4 linked regions of the Saccharomyces cerevisiae S288C genome follow. The protein of the gene in region 2 interacts with the protein of the main gene of each other region in a biochemical or structural test. Each region holds a gene or a part of one and is shown on either strand. Other genes may lie near its edges. The genes, in order: BNI1, BUD6, AIP5 and BNR1.

Region 1 (7,561 bases), on a different chromosome or scaffold from region 2:
CCTGGCATTATCTCCAGTGATAAAAATGAGGGCCGTTTTCTCGGATGGGTTTCCTCTTTGATTAATGCTGCATTTACGTACCAAGGTACTGAACTGGTTGGGATAACCGCTGGTGAAGCGGCTAACCCAAGAAAAGCTCTCCCGAGGGCAATAAAGAAAGTTGTAGTGAGGATTCTAGTCTTTTACATTCTTTCACTATTTTTCATTGGCCTTTTGGTCCCATATAATGACCCAAAGTTGGATAGTGACGGTATATTTGTCTCTTCATCGCCCTTTATGATAAGCATTGAGAATTCAGGCACAAAAGTTCTCCCAGATATATTTAACGCGGTCGTGCTAATCACCATTCTTTCCGCAGGTAACTCTAATGTGTACATTGGCTCAAGAGTACTGTATAGTCTGTCTAAAAATAGCTTGGCGCCAAGGTTCTTGTCTAACGTGACCAGAGGTGGTGTTCCATACTTTTCTGTTCTATCTACATCCGTGTTCGGATTTTTGGCTTTCTTAGAGGTTTCTGCAGGCAGCGGCAAGGCCTTTAACTGGTTATTGAACATAACTGGTGTGGCCGGTTTCTTTGCCTGGCTTTTGATTTCATTTTCTCATATCCGTTTCATGCAAGCCATAAGGAAACGTGGTATATCGAGGGATGACTTACCTTATAAAGCTCAAATGATGCCTTTTTTGGCATATTATGCATCTTTTTTCATCGCTCTAATTGTTCTGATCCAGGGCTTCACCGCTTTCGCACCTACTTTTCAGCCTATAGACTTTGTCGCTGCATATATATCAATATTCCTATTTTTGGCCATATGGTTATCATTCCAAGTTTGGTTTAAGTGCCGCTTACTCTGGAAGCTGCAGGATATCGATATCGATTCTGACCGCCGGCAAATAGAGGAGTTGGTATGGATAGAGCCAGAATGTAAAACAAGGTGGCAACGAGTTTGGGATGTCCTTTCATAATTTTAGAATAATACTCCATACCACACACACACATATATATGTATGTATGTATGTATGTATGTATATGTATATTTGCCAAATCCTTGCTCAACTCTTTTCCTGTGATTATATGATTACTCCCTAGTTGTTTCGTTGTTAGCCGCCGAAAGTCATCGCCCGTAATTTCCATGGCTTACCCGACATCGGTTAGAGGAAGTTTTTGACGTGGAAGAGGGAAAGAAAGAAAAAACAGATGTGGAAAACTAGAATCCCTTTTAAGAACAATAGCACGGACCCTTCCTACAGATAAGAGGACACTGACGGCTGTGTGTTAATTATTTTCGTATTAAGCATAAAATTGGACAGTGGCATTCTTTTCTTCACCCTTCACGTTTTTTATACGTCTCATACAGTTGGGCCATTTTTTACTTTTTTTTTTGCCATTTGTATCTATCTTCTGTATTGAGGAGAAACATTTTAACTCAAGCCTAGTTAAATTCTAAATACACGCCACATAAAGAAGGCACCTGAACCTTTTCAACAAACGAGAAGCAAGAAAGGAAGAGAAGGAAAGGAAATGTTGAAGAATTCAGGCTCCAAACATTCGAACTCAAAGGAAAGTCATTCGAATTCGAGTTCTGGTATATTCCAAAATTTGAAGCGTTTGGCTAACTCAAATGCAACGAATAGCAATACGGGTTCTCCGACCTATGCATCCCAACAACAGCACTCTCCAGTGGGAAACGAAGTGTCCACTTCACCTGCATCTTCGTCATCTTTTAGAAAACTGAATGCACCTTCTAGGTCTACATCTACTGAGGCGAGGCCGTTGAATAAAAAATCGACATTAAACACACAAAACTTGTCTCAATATATGAATGGTAAATTAAGTGGAGATGTTCCCGTATCCTCACAGCACGCAAGGTCGCATTCAATGCAATCGAAATATTCGTATTCCAAGAGGAATTCTTCACAGGCGTCCAATAAGCTAACAAGGCAGCATACCGGGCAAAGTCACTCCGCATCAAGTCTTCTCTCTCAAGGTTCGCTAACTAACTTGAGCAAATTCACTACACCCGATGGTAAAATTTATTTAGAAATGCCGTCGGACCCATACGAGGTGGAAGTTTTGTTTGAAGATATTATGTATAAAAGAAATATTTTTCAGTCTTTATCAGAGGACAAACAAGAAGCTCTGATGGGCTACAGCATTGAGAAGAAATGGCTGATTGTTAAGCAGGATTTACAAAATGAGCTAAAAAAAATGCGAGCAAACACTACATCTTCTTCCACTGCCTCCAGAACTTCGATGGCGTCGGACCATCATCCTATCCTTACGGCTAATTCATCTCTTTCGTCTCCCAAATCTGTTTTGATGACAAGCGCCTCTTCTCCCACCTCAACTGTATACAGCAACAGTTTAAATCATTCTACTACTCTTTCATCGGTAGGTACGTCAACCTCGAAGGGGAAAAAATTAGTGAGCGGGAGTTTGAAAAAGCAGCCATCTCTAAACAATATTTATAGAGGTGGGGCTGAGAACAATACGAGTGCATCTACTCTTCCAGGAGACAGAACAAACAGACCACCGATACATTATGTGCAACGAATCCTGGCAGACAAACTTACTAGCGATGAGATGAAAGATTTATGGGTAACTTTAAGAACTGAACAGTTAGACTGGGTAGACGCTTTTATAGACCATCAGGGTCACATTGCTATGGCTAATGTACTAATGAACTCTATTTATAAGACTGCACCCCGAGAAAACTTGACTAAAGAATTATTAGAGAAAGAAAATTCATTTTTTAAATGCTTCAGAGTCTTATCAATGCTCTCACAAGGTTTGTATGAGTTCAGTACACATAGGTTAATGACTGATACTGTTGCAGAAGGTTTATTCTCTACGAAACTGGCCACAAGGAAAATGGCCACTGAAATTTTTGTTTGTATGCTAGAAAAAAAAAATAAAAGCAGATTCGAAGCAGTTCTTACCTCACTAGATAAAAAGTTTAGGATAGGGCAAAATCTTCATATGATTCAAAACTTCAAAAAAATGCCCCAGTATTTCTCTCATTTAACCTTGGAAAGTCATTTGAAAATTATTCAAGCCTGGTTATTTGCCGTTGAACAAACTTTAGATGGAAGAGGAAAAATGGGTTCCTTAGTAGGCGCGTCGGATGAATTTAAAAATGGTGGGGGTGAAAATGCGATTCTAGAATACTGCCAATGGACAATGGTTTTTATCAATCATTTATGCTCTTGCTCTGATAACATAAATCAAAGAATGCTATTAAGGACGAAACTAGAAAATTGTGGAATTTTACGAATTATGAACAAAATAAAACTGCTAGATTACGACAAGGTAATTGACCAAATTGAGTTATATGACAATAATAAACTTGACGATTTTAACGTTAAATTAGAGGCCAACAATAAGGCTTTTAATGTAGATTTACACGATCCACTATCATTATTAAAAAACCTTTGGGATATATGTAAAGGTACCGAGAATGAAAAGCTTTTAGTATCTTTAGTTCAACATCTTTTCCTTTCTAGTTCAAAGTTAATAGAAGAAAACCAAAATTCCTCTAAACTTACTAAGCAATTGAAACTTATGGATTCTTTGGTGACTAATGTTAGTGTTGCCTCAACTTCTGATGAAGAAACTAATATGAATATGGCTATCCAGCGGCTTTACGATGCCATGCAGACTGATGAAGTTGCACGTCGAGCTATATTAGAAAGTAGAGCTCTAACGAAGAAATTGGAAGAAATTCAGGCAGAAAGGGATTCTTTAAGTGAAAAGTTAAGCAAGGCGGAGCACGGACTCGTTGGACAGTTAGAAGATGAGTTGCATGAGAGAGATCGTATTTTAGCTAAGAATCAGAGAGTTATGCAGCAGCTGGAAGCTGAGTTAGAAGAGTTGAAAAAGAAGCATCTTTTGGAAAAGCATCAGCAAGAGGTAGAATTGAGAAAAATGTTGACTATATTGAATTCGAGGCCTGAAGAAAGCTTCAATAAGAATGAAGGCACCAGAGGTATGAACTCGAGCCTAAATTCTTCAGAGAAAGCGAATATCCAAAAGGTGTTACAGGACGGATTATCAAGAGCAAAAAAGGATTACAAGGATGATTCAAAAAAATTCGGCATGACACTTCAACCTAATAAGAGATTAAAAATGTTAAGAATGCAAATGGAAAATATTGAAAATGAAGCCAGGCAACTAGAGATGACAAATTTTGCTGAATTTGAGAAAGATCGTCTTGAACCTCCAATACATATTAAGAAGCCCAAAGTGAAGAAGATGAAAAATAAGGATAGGAAACCTTTAGTCAAGCCTCAAGAGGCGGACGTAAATAAACTAAATGACCTAAGGCGGGCTTTGGCTGAAATCCAAATGGAAAGTAATGATATTTCCAAATTTAACGTCGAAGAACGTGTTAATGAGCTATTTAATGAAAAGAAATCTCTGGCTTTAAAGAGACTGAAAGAACTAGAAACAAAATACAAAGGATTTGGTATTGACTTTAATGTCGACGAGATTATGGACAGTCCAAAGAAAAATACTGGGGACGTGGAAACGGAAGAAGACGCTAACTATGCCAGTCTTGACCCTAAGACATATCAGAAAAAGTTAGACGAGATTAATAGAATAACGGACCAGTTGTTAGATATTCAGACTCAAACCGAACACGAAATACAAGTAGAAGAAGATGGGGAAAGCGATCTTTCCTCTTCAAGTTCTGATGATGAAAGTGAGGAAATATACCAAGACGCATCTCCAACTCAAGAACTAAGGAGCGAACACTCAGAGCTATCTTCAGGATCAGGTCCTGGGTCTTTTCTCGATGCCTTATCTCAAAAATATGGTACTGGTCAAAATGTTACTGCATCGGCTGCTTTTGGAGAGAACAATAACGGTTCGGGTATTGGACCTCTACATAGTAAAGTTGAAAAGACCTTTATGAACAGACTCAGAAAATCCACCGTGTCTTCTGCTCCATATTTAGAGGAGTTAACACAGAAGGTAAATAAAGTTGAACCATATGAACAAAATGAAGATGAAGGTCTAGATAAAAAATCTTTACCGGAAAACAGCACGGCAAGTGCAGCTTCCGCCTTTGACAAAGCTGAGAAAGACATGAGACAACATGTGGAAAACGGAAAGCAAGGGCGTGTGGTAAATCATGAAGAAGATAAAACAGCGGATTTCAGCGCTGTGAGTAAACTGAATAATACAGATGGCGCAGAAGATCTCTCTACTCAATCATCTGTACTCTCCTCACAGCCGCCACCGCCTCCTCCTCCTCCTCCTCCAGTTCCCGCCAAATTGTTCGGTGAATCGTTGGAGAAAGAGAAAAAGTCGGAAGACGACACTGTCAAGCAAGAAACTACTGGGGATTCTCCTGCTCCTCCCCCTCCACCACCACCACCTCCTCCTCCACCCATGGCATTGTTCGGCAAACCCAAGGGAGAAACACCACCACCGCCGCCGCTACCATCTGTATTATCTTCATCTACTGATGGCGTCATTCCGCCAGCTCCACCTATGATGCCGGCATCGCAAATCAAATCAGCTGTAACATCACCATTACTTCCTCAATCGCCCTCATTATTTGAAAAGTATCCTCGTCCACACAAGAAATTAAAGCAACTGCATTGGGAAAAATTAGATTGTACTGATAATTCTATTTGGGGTACAGGTAAAGCTGAGAAGTTCGCAGATGACTTATACGAAAAGGGTGTTCTTGCTGATTTAGAAAAGGCCTTTGCCGCTAGGGAAATTAAATCATTAGCAAGCAAGCGCAAGGAAGATCTGCAGAAAATTACATTTTTATCCAGGGATATTTCTCAACAGTTTGGTATCAATTTGCATATGTATTCATCACTTTCGGTTGCCGATCTGGTGAAAAAGATTCTAAACTGCGATAGGGATTTTTTGCAAACACCGAGTGTTGTTGAGTTTTTGTCAAAATCTGAAATAATTGAAGTTTCTGTTAATTTAGCTAGGAATTACGCCCCGTATTCGACAGACTGGGAGGGCGTGAGGAATCTCGAAGATGCCAAGCCCCCTGAAAAAGATCCAAACGATTTACAGAGGGCTGACCAAATTTATTTGCAATTGATGGTTAATCTAGAATCATACTGGGGTTCACGTATGAGAGCTCTCACAGTGGTTACTTCGTATGAAAGAGAATATAATGAGTTATTGGCAAAGTTAAGAAAAGTCGACAAAGCTGTTAGCGCGCTTCAAGAATCAGATAACTTGCGCAATGTCTTTAATGTTATCTTAGCAGTTGGTAATTTCATGAACGACACTTCTAAGCAGGCACAAGGTTTCAAACTTTCAACCTTGCAGAGGTTGACGTTTATCAAGGATACTACCAATAGCATGACCTTTCTAAATTACGTCGAAAAAATTGTCAGGTTAAATTATCCAAGCTTCAATGACTTTCTAAGTGAATTAGAACCTGTATTGGATGTCGTGAAAGTTTCCATTGAGCAGTTAGTTAACGACTGTAAGGACTTTAGCCAATCGATTGTAAACGTAGAGCGTTCAGTTGAAATTGGTAATTTAAGCGATTCCTCAAAGTTTCATCCATTAGATAAAGTTTTGATAAAAACATTGCCCGTGTTACCGGAAGCCAGAAAAAAGGGGGACTTGTTAGAAGACGAAGTTAAGCTGACTATCATGGAATTTGAAAGTCTGATGCATACGTACGGTGAAGATTCTGGTGATAAGTTTGCAAAAATCTCATTCTTTAAGAAATTTGCAGATTTTATAAATGAATACAAAAAAGCTCAAGCGCAAAATCTAGCCGCGGAAGAAGAAGAAAGACTTTATATAAAGCATAAGAAAATAGTGGAAGAACAGCAAAAAAGGGCACAAGAAAAGGAAAAACAAAAAGAGAACAGCAATTCGCCTTCATCTGAAGGAAATGAAGAGGATGAAGCAGAAGATAGGCGCGCTGTTATGGATAAACTATTAGAACAGTTGAAAAATGCAGGTCCTGCTAAAAGTGACCCATCTTCCGCCAGAAAGAGAGCCCTAGTGAGGAAAAAATATCTTTCTGAAAAAGACAACGCTCCACAATTACTCAACGATTTGGATACTGAAGAAGGGTCTATTCTTTATTCTCCAGAAGCTATGGACCCTACTGCCGATACAGTGATTCACGCTGAATCACCCACTCCGCTTGCCACAAGGGGTGTTATGAATACCTCTGAAGATTTACCATCGCCATCCAAGACATCTGCGCTGGAAGATCAAGAGGAAATTAGTGACAGAGCTAGAATGTTATTAAAGGAGCTAAGAGGCTCTGACACACCAGTAAAGCAAAATTCCATACTCGATGAACATCTAGAAAAATTGAGGGCCCGCAAGGAAAGATCCATAGGTGAGGCTAGCACAGGTAACAGGCTAAGTTTCAAATAAAATATTAAACCAAAAAATTATGACAACAGTAATACCAAAACAAACATCCAAACAAGCACTAGTACAAAGAAATAGTCACGAATCATTAAATCACATATATATATATAATTTTAATGTTTATAGATCACTTATGATACACTTTACATTCATCTTTACTCAAATGATCTCTACTATTGCATT
Region 2 (4,463 bases):
AGGGATATTTCGAAGTTTAATAGCGCTGTTTAACACTAGAATCTCTTATAAAACAATTGACACAAATTTAAATTCAACAAACACCGTTCTCATGCAAATTGATCATGTTGTAAAGAACATTTCGGAATGTTATAAATCTGCTTTTAAGGATCTATCAATTAATGTTACGCAAAATATGCAATTTCATTCGTTCTTACAACGCATCATTGAAATGACAGTCAGCGGTTGTCCAATTACGAAATGTGATCCTTTAATCGAGTATGAGGTACGATTCACCATATTGAATGGATTTTTGGAAAGCCTATCTTCAAACACATCAAAATTTAAAGATAATATCATTCTTTTGAGAAAGGAAATTCAACACTTGCAAGCATATATATATATATATATACATATAGTTAATTAGTACTAATAATACATGAAATACTGACAGCTTATGATGCTGATAAGGAAAATATTGCCGCAAACTTTGTAATAAGCCAAAAGCACTAATCTCTTTTCCGTTAGCTTTCATAAAATTAGTGTATTTAAGTAAACCCCGGCCCAAAATATGCTCTCAAATTTGCTTCATCCTTCTGCTTTCTTATCCTTTCTACTTCTTCAAAGCCTCCCGATTTTTTCAGGTTTGAATTACCCACAAAATTTTCCAGTTCATCATCAAATTCATTACTAGCTTTAAGTTTTCTTTCCATCTCCCACATCTTCTCAGCCTTGTCAATAGCTTCGACCCTACTATCGTGGTCAGGGTTTAAAGATTGGACGGCCACCATAACTTGCTCCCTTACCTGATTAAATGTGCCCGGTCTCATAATAGGCAAAATAGGATTACTTTTTGATCTCGAAGGGTTTTTTTCTTGTTCTTCACAACATAACTTAATAAGATCGAAAGTTTCTAATGCCTTACCCAAGTCTTCCTTCAAATCTAAAATCAACTCTTCCTGCAACGTGAGAAACTGTTGTTCTTCACAGACCTTATCGAGCTCAGCTTCCCAAGTTTTTTTCCAATGTGGTTTTTCAGTATCAATAAACTCCTGTAGTTTAAGTACATCTGCTTGGGCATTTTCTAAATCCTTGGATACGGTTTCTAGCTTCTTTTTAGCGGGCTGAGACCTACGCTCAGCAACGTCTTTCCTCATAATTTCGATTACATCTTGCAAATCATCTACTTTACTTAGCAGAGTATCGGATAAATCACCGAGTTCGGTCTGTGATTTTTCCATGTACATTCTGTTGGAAGAGTTTTTGGCAGAAAATGATAAAGACTTAAAGTTATCGACCTTTCGTAAAATGTTGAAAATAGTCTCATTAATATTTGACCTATTAATATTATGCACTTGTTTTATTTTCCCCAATTCGTACTGAATATCTTTGATCGTTTTATCATCATCTTTTTTGTTTTGCCCCACAAGATCGTGTTTGTTAGCTTCAAGGCCAGGTTGTGGTAAAACTTCCGTTTGCTTGCCGCTAATTGCAGAACCAAAACTCATTTCTTTTAAATGTCTTATTATATCATTCTGACTATTCGATATCTCCATCTTAACTGTGTCAATGAATTCCTTGATCGTATTATTTGGATTCTCTTCGAGCTTTAGCTCGATAACAAACCCTTCTTTAATATCGAGAAGATTTAGTTCCTCTAATTCATAGAATACTCCATATTGAGGATCCATAATATATATGTCTGGGAAGGAATTTGCTCCAGGAGAATACGCAAAGCGCTCAATAAATAGGAGCCTTAATGCGTTTTTTGTAGTAGGCAGTTGCACATGACACTTCTTTGTTTTGTCTCCTATCCTTAAAAATACTGGACAAGTTCCATTCATGGCTTTATCTGGCGAAGTTGTAACAACGCTTGATAATCTTCGTGGAGATGCACGAACATTCTCAATAGGCAATGGCGTTTTCGCCAATGGACTCGCCTTTGATACATCGTCAATGCTTTTACCCTTATTTTCAGCTGAATTAATGTTTCTATCATCATCATTGTTGTTATTTCCGTATAACTTTGACTTTCTTACGGTTTCCTCTAGATGCAACATCGAGGGTGAAGGAGTTGTCATGAGGCCGGCAGCCGCAGCAGCTTCTGTTGTAGACTGATTTGTCAATTTAGCCATATGGTAGGCAGAGTATCTCTTTGAGGCTCTCCTTTGTAAATTAGTTCCCTTCTTCAATTGTGAAAGTGCATCATCATCATCAGATGCGTTTGGAGCATTGTTAGATTTAAGGTTTTGTTTAATATTAGTTCTTGGTTTTGTCAATGTTGCCTCTGCTGACTGAGCAGAGGGTGTTCCCGTAGAAGTAGAATTCACTTTTTCCCCATAGCTGTTTTCGACTGAATCGCTTTGCCTCTGATCACGTACAATACTGCTTTTTCTGCTACTTAATGGAGTCCCCTCACGGGTCCCTTCACTACCCAATGAAAGGTTACTAGTAAAGGAAGGGTTTTGTTGATGATGTGATTTTACACTTATCCGATGCTCTTGCTGCATATTCTTCAAAATTGCTTGTTTAACCTTTAGTTTGTCTAAAAGTGTCACTATAATCTCTCTGATTTTTGGCAGATGTTTATTTAAAGTTTCATCAGATGGTGGTTCCCTCAATGTCACTTCCAATACACGTCTTAAAGCCATTGGCACATCACCAACATCTGACATGTCAACTTTCGCATGCATGAAGAATTTCGATACGACTTTGAAGTCATTGCCCAACTGAACGTATGCATCAGATACTAATCTTCCAGAGGTTGTCCCCTTAGACCATTGTGTTAAGACCTGGAGGAGGTGCTTGGTGGACATCAGCAACTTTGTTACTGTCGTTTCAATACTACTACTGCTAGAAGCAGTTCTTTTAATCTTTGGGGTGCCATACGTAGGGTCATCCACGGCCATCTTCATCTAATTTTAAAATAATACGAGGATTACTACACCAATTTGGCAGCCAGCTTCTACTCTTTTTCCCTTTTCTTGGGTTTGTTTTGATGCCATTATCTCAAGAATGCATAATAGTAGGATAAAATTCGTTCAGCTCGGCTAGCGAGATATCTTCAAAGAGTAAAGCGCATCTGCGTGTAAAATTAAATTCAAGAAGTGAAAGAATAAAAGATAGGATTGTAGATTTGAAGTTTAGTGGTAGCGTCAGCAGATAAGCTTATGGATGTTGATGAACCGAATCCTATTGTGATATCAGATTCTGAGGCCACTGATGAGGAAATTAGTATCATATACGAACCCGAATTCAATGAAAATTATTTATGGGCAGAGGAAAACGTCCAAGAAGCAAGCAGATCACAGAAAATTGTCACTGAGAGGTTGAGCCTGGATTCCACTGCTGGAGAATCTTGTACTCCTTCCGTAGTAACTGATACACAAGTTACTACGGGGCTTCGGTGGTCTTTGAGGAAGAGGAAGGCTATTCAAAAGATGCCATACAGTTTAGAACGCATAAAGCATAGGCAGTTGCTAGAGGGCTATGATATCTCTAGTTTTGACAGCATTTCGAATCAGTTGACCTTACCGAAGAACGCTTCTACAGTGATTCACTCAAATGATATTTTACTTACAAAGAGAACTGGTAAACCCTTAGATGAGCAGAAAGATGTTACAATCGACTCCATTAAACCCGAAAACAGCTCGGTTCAATCTCAAAGATATGATAGTGATGAAGAAATACCAAAGAAAAGGCATCGTACTTTTAAAGACCTCGACCAGGATATAGTATTTCAATCAGGTGATTCTACGGAAGATGAACAAGACTTGGCTAGTACAAATTTACAGAATACTCAAAATGACGAAGTAATATTTAGAGGAAGAGTATTGAATGTAAGAACTGGTTACCGTGGGGTCCTGCCAAGAGTTGCTTGGGAAAAGTCGTTGCAAAAGCAGCAGTCTTCAAAAGTCACGAAAAGAAAAACTCAATTATTGAACCATAAGGGTGTGGCTAAGAGGAAAATGAACAGAAGCGCCCATATTGAAGATGAAGAACAGAACTTATTGAACGATCTTATTGCACCTGATGACGAACTGGATATCGAGGAAAACGCCCCTCCAGATATATACTTAGGAAATCTTCCAGAGGATCGTGAGGCTAACGAAAAGGAATTAAAGGAATTGCAAGAATATTATGAGAGCAAGTATAGTGAAGACGCACAATCGGCTGGAACTTCTGGTTTTAATTTAAATGAGGAATACCGCAATGAACCAGTGTATGAGCTGGAATATGACGGACCGGGGAGCTGCATATCACATGTGTCTTATAAAGACCAGCCTATTATTTATTTGAATTCACGGCATTCAGATAGCGGATTTAGTGAGCAATACAATATATCTGCCGAAGATAATCAAAGTGTAATTTCCCTAGATGCTGCTGAAGAGCATAACGATGGTATAATTGACAAGATGTTGGTTAAACCTAAAAGAATTAAAGCAACCAATGATGCCAACTTTTTGAATACAAAAAGTAAGAGA
Region 3 (5,763 bases), on a different chromosome or scaffold from region 2:
AAGAAAAGAAGGAGTTTATGTTTATATACACCGGTGTAGGCTGTGCGTTGGTGTGAACACTTCCTGTTGCTGTTGCTGTTGAAGCCGTCTCCGCATGCAACTGTAGTCATACAGCCTCTTGTCTGCCCTTATTCAATTGACCAGCTAACAATAGCTTCGCTTTCTTTCTGAAAAATCCTCCAAGGGGTATTACTTGTGGGGGGTTCCAGGAACCCATAGGCCGGGGCATGTTTCACGGGAAGTTCTGTGGCAGGAAATGGTCCCTGAGTAGCCGCGCAGGTGGCTTTTGCCTTTGCCGTACCGATCGGGAAATTGTGCCCCTGAAAGATTCCGTTTACGGCGCTTCTGTGCAACCTCTTTGGGCAAGCTTTGCTCCTGTCAATAGAGCAATTATTTGACAAGGTTTCTTTTACCTTGTTTTATGTGGGTTAAACGTGGGAGGAGAACTATAAATCACATGTGCTGTCAAGAGATTATGTTAGTTACGTAGCGCGCTTAAGCTTTCTTAAATAGTATCGTAAATGAGTTCCCGCAATTTGTAGTCTTCGTTAGCTTCTTCTATTTCTTCCCAGTTCCCGATTAAGTCATTGTGTCCTCTGACCACACCTGGAAGACTCCTACCCTTGCTGAAAGTCTTCCAAACTTTTCTCGCTTCATCATCTGTGCCAAGATCTCTGTAGGTGAACGGGATTCGGTTGGCCGTCAGGATTGTGCTTAAGCGATTTGTTCTGGGGATCATATGGAAACCGCCTCCGGCTAGTGACGTGTATATATATACAGGTTCCTTTTCATTCAGCTTCCGGATCTCGCTAGTCGTTATTACGTCTTGTGGCTTGTCATTGTTTTTCTTGGATTGCTCAGTAGTTTGAGTTGTGGAGTCTTTCGCATCTAGTGATTGGAGTAGAGCGTTTAGTTCAGAATCATCAACAATTTTTAGTTGCTCTAAAAACTCATTCGTTTCGTCCAAAATATCTTTGAAGATGTCATCTGCACTTGCTTTCTTGGGATTTTCCCTTGTACTTTGATCTTCAAATCCATTTTCGTCATTGTTTGGGGCTTCTTTACTGATTGACTCTGTTTCATTGAAGTCTAACTGGGATACCTCCTCTTCTTCTTGCTTAATTTCATTCTTTTCCTCCGTGATGTTTTCTTCCACTACAAGATCAGGAAGAGAAGTTTCTTTCTCTGTTTCTTCTACTTCCAATTCCTTGTCTTCTCCTTTATTATCCTTTATATCTTGTTTTTCCAATTCTGGCAATTCGACTGTCCTTTGAAATTCGTCTGAAATGTTGATATCGTCGATCTCTTGATCTCCGGTGACATCTTTGAGCGCCTCAGCAATCTTAGAATTTTCCATATTCTCGTCTTCTTTTGTCACGGCTTCCGCATCCTTTTTTGAAACTTCTGCCTCCGTACATGTTCCATCCTCTATTGGAGTCTCAGCAGGTTCCGAACATTTTGTTTCGATGTCTTCTTTTGAAGTTGCAGCAACTTCCACATCTTCATTTTCTTTATTCAGTTCAGCAGTGACTTCTGCCTCTTTTGGAGCGTCAAGATTTCCAAGCTCTGCCTTTACCTTGATAAATTCAGTTTTTTCGGAATTCTCCACTTCTGCATCTTCCTCGGTGTCAACTTCCACATCTTCATTTTCTTTATTCAGTTCAGCAGTGACTTCTGCCTCTTTTGGAGCGTCAAGATTTTCAAGCTCTGCCTTTACCTTGATAAATTCAGTTTTTTCGGAATTCTCCACTTCTGCATCTTCCTCGGTGTCCTTCTTGACAGATTCGCTGCTAGGTTCTATATATTTTTCGGCAGTTCCAACATCACTTGCTTTTGAATTTTCGCTCGCAGCCTCAGTAGCTTCACCATGTTCATGATTTGTATCTTTGCCGGTGATTTTATCGCCTTCTTGTGTAATTTCAAAGCGTTTGGGTTTTTCTTCTTCTTTGAAACTAGTAGTAGATCCTACATCTCCCATATCCTTTTGTGTAGTTTCAGCTTGTTCTGTTGAAATTTGAACGCGCTGGGATTTGGGATCTTCTTCTTCGGAATTCTCAATGGTTGTTGCAATTTCTGGCTTTACATCTTCATCGGGAACTCTAACATCTTCCTTTAGAACCTCAGGATCTCTTTCGTTGATTTGAAGATCTTCTGGTCTTCCGGAGGTACAACGCTTAACTACTTTTGGAGACTCAGGAGTCTTCGATTTCTCAACCTCTACACCTTCTGCACTTTCTCTTGCTGTTTCATCAACCTCTTTTTTTGCTTTCTCGTTGGAAAGCTCAGCAGTCCCCTCTTGCTTCTTTTTCATGTCTTCACTGATAGACTCAGCACCTCTCATTGCTATTTTATCATCTTTCATGGCCTTAACAGGTTCATCCAGCTTGACTTGTTCCCCTTCTTGATCTTCTTTGGCAACCTCGAGATCTTCAGGTATTATATTTTTTTCCACAGCCTCAACAATCTCTACATCATCCCTAGGCGCGTCAGGTATATCGATTTCTCCGACAACTTCCGTAGGCTTGTTTTCCTGAGTAGGTGCTTCAGCTTCATCTTCAAGAACAAGGTTATCTTTAGAAATTTTTGCAGAGTTTGCGCTTCCCTCTATTTCAATAATGGAAGATTTTTCTCCCGCTTCTGACTGCTTTTCATCTCCCCCCATAATTTCCTCTCCTTTTGATGTAGATTCTTCTTCGGTACCGGACACTTCATTATTTCTTACAGCTTCTTGCTCCCCGGTTACATTTTCTTTTTTAACTTTTGAAAAAGTCGAATTTTCTTCTTCTTCTTCTTCTTCTTCTTCTTCTTTTTCAACTTCTACAGATATATCGTTAGTACCGTGTTGTAGATTTTTTTCATTGTCACTAATGCGCTTTGTTGGTCCCATCGTTTCGTCATCATAAGTCTCTCGCTCAGTTTCTGGAGGGATGATACTATCACTACCAGCTGCGTTAAAATTATGGCTCATGTTATTCTCATGATTAACAGATAATTCTTTCCTACATTTTTCGTCTTCTTTATCCTTCTGTTCAAAAACATGGTCTTCTTTCCCGATTTCTGTTTCTTTCTGATTTTTTGCAAGAACTGAAGGACTTATTCCGTCTCTATCACTTTCAGTCTGCTGCTTTTCCCCAGCTTTCAAATGTTTTGATTCGTTCTCTTTGAAATTAAACCCATTCTTAGTTAAACTTTCACTTTCAACATCCTTAGTAGACGCTTGCCCATTTTCATCACCTGCCTCCAAACCGTGCGGCTCTAGTTGGTGTTTAAAAGAAGCTGCATTTCCCTCATTAACATTTAAGATCTCATTCTCTTCTCGAGGTAAGGTATGTTCTGCCTTTTCCTCGTTGATATTGTTCTCGGACTTTGAGGAAGTTTCGTCAACATTATCTTTGTTAGGCACATCTATGTCGAAGGTTTTGTCACTAGATTCATTTCTGGTTCTGATATCCATTTTTTCGACATTAACAGGCTCATCTTGGACAATATTTACTTTGATATCCTCGTTCTTTGAACCATCTTCCTGTAGGTACTCTTCAATGCCTACTAGTATGGAATCTAAAGTTGACTGTTTTGACAAATCAGTAGTATCTGCAGGATTTGAAGAATTACGACCTCTTCTATTCGTGGTTTTTTTCTTTTTGTTTTTTTTTCTTCTCGTAATTGGGCTATTGCCAACCTCAATTCCTGTGGATTCTTTGATTGGTGGTACATTTTCTGTGCCTTCCGCTACATTGTTAGTAGAAGTTTCTTTGATAACTACATTGACGTCTATTGGGATCTGTGTGGGAGATTCTGTAGCGTCATTTATTGTATCTGTGGCTATCTCTATTACGTCGTCTTTTCTTTCCAAATCATGAGAGATTGCATCCCGTGTGGAAGCTTCCTCGGTTTCACCAACAGAACTGGAAAGTTTTACAATAGTATCTCTGTCACGATTCGCCTTTATTTGTCCCTGGTTTTTCTTTTTATGACCTTTCAATTTAGAAGATTTCCTTTGAGATGATAATTCCTGTGCAAAATTCTCAGTGGCATTTATCGCTTCATCTAAGTCACTTTCTGTAAGTTGATCTCGACTTTCTATAATATCATTCGTACTTGGTAAGGGAAGATCTGTAGCAAGTGTCGAATACGAATCTCCAGCACTAGTTACCGATGGGGGTTGAACATTGTGTTCCTGATTTTCTACAGTCAAAGATTCTACCATGTCACTCTTTATTTAATCCAGAGTAATCAAGCACACCAGTACAATAATTGCTAACAGGTTTAAAAAGAGAAAGTGTTCTGGAATAAAACCACTTGCTTATATGCGAAGTGACTACGAAATATTAAGGGAAAATATACGACAATTTCGTGTTCAGAAACTTAACAAATATTTTCATCTTGTCTGTTATATTCTCGGAAGCTTTAGGATAAATTTATCCTTAAAAAAAGGACTGCGCAAGCCCGGAATCGAACCGGGGGCCCAACGATGGCAACGTTGGATTTTACCACTAAACCACTTGCGCTTATTTCTTGGAAGTGTTCGTGTTCTAATAAGGTCACAACAGCTCCAACATTAACCAGAAATACCTGTAAATAGCCCCGCCACGAGGCAACAATTGTCTCTGTATTCTTATCTTTCTCAATAAGCACTTATTAGTTAGTTTACATCCGAGTTCTTGAGCACTCCCCACCTTTTTAGTAGGTCTGAAGTCTTGTTTACAACAGCGGGCACCTCAAGATTGAAAGGAGTTGAGAGTTAGAATATATAATTTTGAAATTAAATTTGAAAATGATGCGATTACCACCGGCAAGTATTCAAAACAAAATAAGACGAGGGAGCTTCATAAAAATTAGGTCGTATATGTTGAAATGAGAGGATTTAGTACATTCTGTATTCATCATATTATAGCCTTTACCAACAATGAAACTCCAGTAATTATCAAATTATTCTCCCAATTCTCACCGAACATGCGGCAACGTTAGGTACGGATCGCGGAAAACACTTTATTTTGTGCAGAGGTACTGTCATGAATACTATGTCAATAAAAAAAGTATCGCATTATCACCACGCCTATATAACATAATCTAAACTATTCGTGAGGGTACAGAAATCCATTGAAATGAATTGATAGTTCTACACGATATCGCTGTCATTTTATTGTACGTTTCAAGTTTTACTAAATAAAAATGACATCTGAAACAGATTAAGTTTTTTTGTAACTTGTGCCCGTTGAAATAGGAATTAACTGTTATAATTGACAATATTCATGTCAACACTATATAGTAATATATAATAAAGAAGGTAACTTAAATGGCGATAGGCGGTCAACAAGTCTAGGGAATCAGAAATGCAAGAATGAATAACGTAATAGGATAGCGAAGGAACATATCAAAAACAAGGGAAAAAAAAATTGGTTCTATATCTAGATATATCTAGAATTTTTGGACTGGTTTTATCTCAATTTCCACCTATCTTTATGTATTATCTTTCGACCGTCTTATCTTTTAATATGGTGGCAGGAATACCAGTCAGACAATGATTGGATCTTGTCTCGGGTTGTTTGTTATCACGTAAGCACCACAGTCCGCTCCGTAGGAAAAGAAAAATAGCCGCCGAGCCACGGGAGCAAATGAGTGAAGAATATGCGCAACGTTTTGGTACATATACAAAAAAATGTAGAAAAGAAGCTAAAGAGATTGACGTTACGTACATATGTATGAGTGGGTAGGTGTGGACGACACTAGGGAGGCTTTACTTCTCTCCAAACATGTGAAGCT
Region 4 (6,568 bases), on a different chromosome or scaffold from region 2:
AACATACCTTTGGATTATCCAAAGGCCCCAATAAAACTAACGATGAAAAGTAATGAAGAAGTTTCCTCTTACATGGACACCGTGATAGCGAATTTCAACTGGAAAGCCCGTCAATTGGTTAAGGAGGACTGGAGGATATTATCTCAAATAAACTATTTGGTTAGTGAGTTAGAAATATTGAAAATGGAAAATTATAAACAAATTGATAAACTACGTAATAGCTTTTACAAAACCATATAAATATGAGCATAATAAAAAGGGAGAATATTAACTATTATCAAGTATTAAAACTATTCTTTAATAAAGATGGCGGCGGCACCCATACCAGTACCGATACACATACTAACAACCCCGATTTGATCCTTTTTCAGTTCTCTTAGTATGGTAGCTACTTGCCTTGCGCCAGTACAACCCAAGGGATGGCCTAACGCGATTGCACCACCTCTTGGATTTACTTTATTCAAATCGATGCCCAGTTTATGGATGCAGTATAATGCTTGGGCCGCGAATGCTTCATTTATTTCAAAAATATCGATATCTTGGACTTGCAAGCCAGTAGCTTCCAGGACTTTTGGTATGGCGTATGCAGGGCCCACACCCATGATTTCAGGGGGAACCCCCACTGTTTGAAAATCGATGTAGCGACCTAGCACAGGCAGATTTAACTGGTTGGCTACGGACCTGCGGGCTAACAAGACACCTGCCACACCATCGGAGACCTGGGATGCATTGCCCGCAGTTGTGGTTCCTCTGTCTTTGATAAAGGCAGGCCTGATGCTTGAAAGCGACTCCGCAGTGACGTTAGGGCGTGGCCCTTCGTCCGACTGGCAAATTGAGCCATCTGGTAATTTTATAGGTAAAATTTCATCTTCGAAAAGCCCCTCATTTTTCGCCTTGTAAGCTTTTTGATATGAATTCGCAGCGAACTCGTCTTGATCCTTTCTACTGATCTTGAAATTAGCGGCAACATTCTCATTAGTAATGCCCATTGGTATTAGACATTTCTTCGCTTCTCGGTTTTTTTGCAGCTCTTCAGAGGAGATCATGCCCAAGGGATTGACGTTTTTGTAGTTATTGGTCATTGATTCCACTCCCAGCGCCAAACCAATATCAATTTGCCCAACCTTAATCTTGTTGGCAATATCGTTCACCGCCGTTAAACCTGAAGAACATTGTCTGTTTAAAGCGACAAATGGCGTCGAGTAGGGAATCCCACTTGCCAAGCATGCAGCCCTGTGTTCTGTAGCACCGGCTCCAACATTGAGAACATTTCCACAGGCAACTTCTTCGATTAAGTTCAAATCAGCCCTCAAAGGTTCCGGAAACCTCCCGATGAACTCATTGAGAAAGTTGTATAATAAGTAGTCTGTGTTTACATCTTTGAAGGCACCTTTAAAACCTTTACCGATGGCAGACCTGTTAGCAGCCACAATAACTACATCTTCGGGTCTTTTCTCCAGCAACGAGTTCTTCCTCTTCGATTCACCCTTACCCATGGCGCTCTCCACCAAATGATCCTTGATACTTTGTAGTCTTTGAGACATTGCTTTTATGTAGTGTTATATTCACTCTGTACTCAGAGCCACAAGAAATAACCATTCGATTTCAATAGAACTGAGATGCAAAAGTATACCCTATTTATATCTCTTCTTTCTAGTAAAACTCCAATAAATTTGAAACCAATAGAGGGAGAAAGGAAAAAAAAGCTGCGGTGTTAATACTATTATCCCCGTTTCCCTTTGATAGCGCCTTACACGGCGCTACCACATCATTACCCTCCTCATGTTGACGCGTCAAGTTTTTTTTCTTTTTTCGCTATTTGTGGCATAGGTTCAAAACTAGCAAATTCTTGATCTTTTGAAGATTACATAGTGATGATGATCGTGACACAAAAGCAGATAAAAAAATAGCACAATCATCAGCGATGGACTCTTCCCCGAACAAGAAGACGTACCGCTACCCTCGCAGATCGCTGTCACTTCACGCGCGTGATAGGGTCAGCGAAGCCCGTAAATTGGAAGAATTGAATTTGAACGATGGGCTGGTTGCCGCTGGCTTGCAGTTGGTCGGTGTAGCGTTAGAGAAACAAGGTACAGGATCACATATATACATGAAACAGAAGAATTTCTCAGCTAATGACGTTTCTTCGTCACCAATGGTTTCCGAAGAAGTGAACGGATCGGAAATGGATTTTAATCCGAAGTGCATGCCTCAGGACGCATCACTCGTCGAAAGAATGTTTGATGAGCTTTTAAAAGATGGAACTTTTTTTTGGGGGGCTGCTTATAAGAATTTACAAAACATCTCTCTACGAAGGAAATGGTTATTGATATGTAAAATCCGTAGTTCCAATCATTGGGGGAAAAAGAAAGTGACTTCGAGCACGACATACTCTACACATTTGGCCACTAATGAACTAGCTGAAAACGCACACTTTTTGGATGGCCTAGTTAGAAACCTTTCAACAGGTGGCATGAAGTTATCGAAGGCTCTATATAAACTAGAAAAATTCCTGCGAAAGCAAAGCTTTTTGCAACTTTTTCTCAAGGATGAAATTTACTTGACGACATTGATCGAAAAGACTTTGCCACTCATATCCAAGGAATTACAATTTGTTTATCTTCGGTGCTTTAAAATACTGATGAACAACCCACTGGCGAGAATAAGAGCACTACATTCTGAGCCTTTAATTCGCTGGTTCACCGAGCTTCTGACGGATCAAAATTCTAATTTGAAATGTCAGTTACTTTCTATGGAGTTACTTTTATTATTAACGTATGTTGAGGGTTCCACGGGTTGTGAGTTGATATGGGACCAGCTTTCCATATTATTCACCGATTGGCTAGAATGGTTTGACAAAATCCTTGCGGATGATATTGCAATTCATTCATCCCTTTATTTGAACTGGAACCAATTAAAAATAGACTATTCGACAACTTTCCTACTGCTAATAAACTCCATACTGCAAGGTTTCAACAACAAGACTGCACTAGAAATTTTGAATTTTTTGAAAAAGAATAATATACATAACACTATCACATTTTTAGAACTGGCCTATAAAGATGATCCTAATAGTGTCGTGATCATGGAACAAATAAAACAATTCAAATCCAAAGAATCTGCGATATTTGACTCGATGATAAAAACTACCAACGATACGAATTCGCTTCACCCAACAAAAGATATCGCAAGAATAGAAAGCGAGCCTCTATGTCTTGAAAATTGCCTGTTATTGAAGGCAAAAGATAGTCCCGTAGAGGCACCAATAAACGAGATTATTCAATCGCTGTGGAAAATCTTAGACTCTCAAAAACCATACTCAGAATCTATTAAACTATTAAAATTGATAAATTCTTTGCTGTTTTATCTCATAGATTCCTTTCAAGTGTCAACGAATCCTTCTTTTGATGAAACCTTGGAGTCCGCAGAAAATGTGGATTATGTTTTTCAAGATTCTGTTAATAAATTGTTGGATTCTCTACAATCTGATGAAATTGCTAGAAGAGCGGTCACAGAAATTGATGATCTTAATGCTAAGATTTCTCATTTGAATGAAAAATTAAATTTAGTAGAAAATCATGATAAAGATCATTTAATAGCAAAACTAGATGAAAGTGAATCTTTGATATCTCTGAAAACCAAGGAAATTGAAAATCTGAAACTGCAGTTGAAGGCAACCAAGAAAAGACTAGACCAAATTACCACGCATCAAAGGTTATATGACCAGCCACCTTCATTGGCAAGTAGCAACTTGAGTATTGCCGGCTCGATAATAAAAAATAATAGTCATGGAAATATCATTTTCCAAAATTTAGCAAAAAAGCAACAGCAGCAGCAAAAAATTTCTCTGCCCAAGCGTTCAACTAGTCTACTAAAAAGTAAAAGAGTTACGTCCCTTTCATCATATTTAACTGATGCAAATAACGAAAATGAGTCCCAAAATGAATCCGAAGATAAATCAAAAGACTCATTATTTCAAAGATCTACGTCAACCATTAATTTTAATATCCCTTCTATGAAAAATATTACTAATATGCAAAATGTCTCTCTAAATTCGATACTTTCAGAGTTGGAATTTTCAAATAGCCTAGGAACACAACCTAATTACCAATCGTCTCCCGTGTTGTCTTCGGTTTCTTCTTCACCAAAACTTTTCCCTCGACTTTCCTCAGATAGTCTTGATAATGGAATCCAACTAGTACCTGAAGTTGTTAAACTACCTCAACTTCCACCGCCCCCTCCTCCACCTCCCCCTCCTCCACTTCCACAGTCTCTTTTGACTGAAGCAGAAGCTAAACCGGATGGTGTTTCCTGTATTGCAGCACCTGCACCGCCACCCCTTCCAGATCTATTTAAAACTAAAACTTGTGGCGCCGTTCCACCACCACCACCGCCACCGCCTTTACCCGAGTCCTTGTCGATGAACAAAGGCCCCTCCAATCACGATTTAGTTACTCCTCCAGCTCCACCTTTACCAAATGGTCTTCTTTCTTCCTCCTCAGTGTCTATCAATCCAACGACAACCGATTTAAAACCACCTCCAACTGAAAAGCGATTGAAGCAAATCCACTGGGATAAGGTGGAGGATATCAAAGACACACTTTGGGAAGACACGTTTCAACGCCAAGAAACAATCAAAGAATTACAAACTGATGGTATATTCTCTCAGATTGAAGATATTTTTAAGATGAAAAGTCCGACTAAGATTGCAAATAAAAGGAACGCAGAATCCTCAATTGCCTTGTCTTCAAACAATGGCAAGTCTTCCAATGAGCTGAAGAAAATTTCATTCTTATCAAGAGATTTGGCTCAGCAATTTGGTATTAATTTACACATGTTTTCCCAATTATCTGATATGGAATTTGTTATGAAAGTATTGAACTGTGATAACGACATTGTCCAAAATGTTAACATACTGAAATTTTTTTGTAAAGAAGAGTTAGTAAATATACCAAAAAGTATGCTTAATAAGTACGAGCCATATTCACAGGGTAAGGATGGTAAAGCAGTAAGTGACTTACAAAGAGCTGACAGAATATTTTTGGAGTTGTGTATCAATTTAAGATTTTATTGGAATGCAAGATCAAAGAGTCTGCTGACATTGTCAACATACGAGAGAGATTATTACGATTTGATTTTCAAGTTACAAAAAATTGATGATGCAATTTCACACTTAAATCGTTCACCTAAATTTAAAAGTTTGATGTTTATTATCACGGAAATAGGCAATCATATGAATAAAAGAATTGTTAAGGGTATCAAATTGAAGTCATTGACTAAACTTGCCTTTGTCAGATCCAGTATTGATCAAAATGTATCATTTTTGCATTTTATTGAAAAAGTCATAAGAATAAAATATCCTGATATATACGGTTTTGTGGATGATTTGAAGAACATTGAAGATTTAGGTAAAATCTCACTAGAACACGTTGAATCAGAGTGTCATGAATTTCATAAAAAAATTGAGGATTTAGTTACTCAGTTTCAAGTAGGAAAGCTATCCAAAGAGGAGAACTTAGACCCCAGAGATCAAATTATTAAAAAGGTCAAGTTTAAGATTAATCGGGCCAAAACAAAAAGTGAATTATTGATTGGTCAATGTAAATTAACTTTAATAGATTTGAATAAACTGATGAAATATTACGGTGAAGATCCCAAAGATAAAGAGAGTAAAAACGAATTTTTCCAACCCTTTATTGAATTTTTAGCCATGTTTAAGAAATGTGCCAAGGAAAACATTGAAAAGGAGGAAATGGAAAGAGTGTACGAACAAAGGAAGAGCTTGTTAGATATGAGGACAAGCAGTAATAAGAAAAGCAATGGAAGTGATGAAAACGATGGTGAAAAAGTAAACAGGGATGCTGTTGATCTACTCATATCTAAATTACGCGAAGTAAAGAAGGATCCAGAACCTCTAAGAAGAAGAAAGAGTACAAAACTCAATGAAATAGCCATTAACGTACATGAAGGAGATGTAAAAACGAGAAAGGATGAAGATCACGTTTTACTAGAGAGAACGCATGCTATGCTGAACGATATTCAAAATATATAGTGAAGACTTAGTATTTTATGTAGTTGTGGAGCTTATATAAAGAAATGGACAATATTCGCAATCGCTTCTCAAAAGGGAAATATTTTCCCTTTTCGGGCGGTGGTCGTGTTGACAAATTTCCTAGTTAAGAACTAAGATTTGGAGATGGACAGATTCATTAATAAATTTCAAAATAAGCACAGAAAGCATCGAATTTTTAGCTCAAAACAATCTACTTTTCAATCATCAAAACAGACTATTGAATAAAGATGGGCAATGTGTCTGTGGCAGTGGGAACGGCAGTTGGGATTCCAATTGCTGTGGGCGTAATAATAGCCCTGATATTTTGGTGTAAATTACAACGACGTTACAAAAAAGAAGAGATTAGAGATGCTGATTTGGAGAAGATGGTAATGGAAGAAGTGGCAGTGTCGGTATATGATGGTTTTAAAGCCGAAATTAACAGCTCAAGTGAAGCTTCCACGATAAACGAAAAGGAAGCAAACCAGGATCTTAAACCCTGCCAAGAAAAAACCG

Evidence for each region.
Region 1: the proteins of BUD6 (region 2) and BNI1 form a complex in vitro, tested with the Saccharomyces cerevisiae proteins (5 studies listed by BioGRID).
Region 3: the proteins of BUD6 (region 2) and AIP5 form a complex in vitro, tested with the Saccharomyces cerevisiae proteins (2 studies listed by BioGRID).
Region 4: the proteins of BUD6 (region 2) and BNR1 form a complex in vitro, tested with the Saccharomyces cerevisiae proteins (3 studies listed by BioGRID).

What each region holds. Positions count from the first base shown.
Region 1 is NC_001146.8:129,342-136,902, reverse strand, and holds BNI1 (formin BNI1), read left to right. Parts: upstream 1-1,519; coding exon 1,520-7,381; downstream 7,382-7,561. Other genes in the region: arginine permease ALP1, read left to right, coding at 1-963. UniProt on the Saccharomyces cerevisiae protein: Required for the assembly of F-actin structures, such as actin cables and stress fibers. Nucleates actin filaments. Binds to the barbed end of the actin filament and acts as a leaky capper, slowing both polymerization and depolymerization.
Region 2 is NC_001144.5:768,791-773,253, forward strand, and holds BUD6 (formin-mediated actin nucleation enhancer), read right to left. Parts: upstream 2,895-4,463; coding exon 528-2,894; downstream 1-527. Other genes in the region: EST2 (telomerase reverse transcriptase), read left to right, coding at 1-406; MMS22 (Mms22p), read left to right, coding at 3,150-4,463.
Region 3 is NC_001138.5:176,537-182,299, forward strand, and holds AIP5 (Aip5p), read right to left. Parts: upstream 4,208-5,763; coding exon 506-4,207; downstream 1-505. Other genes in the region: IGD1 (Igd1p), read right to left, coding at 5,738-5,763.
Region 4 is NC_001141.2:39,901-46,468, forward strand, and holds BNR1 (formin BNR1), read left to right. Parts: upstream 1-1,924; coding exon 1,925-6,052; downstream 6,053-6,568. Other genes in the region: SMU2 (Smu2p), read left to right, coding at 1-240; POT1 (acetyl-CoA C-acyltransferase), read right to left, coding at 291-1,544; AIM20 (Aim20p), read left to right, coding at 6,301-6,568. UniProt on the Saccharomyces cerevisiae protein: May organize microtubules by mediating spindle positioning and movement in the budding process. Potential target of the RHO family members.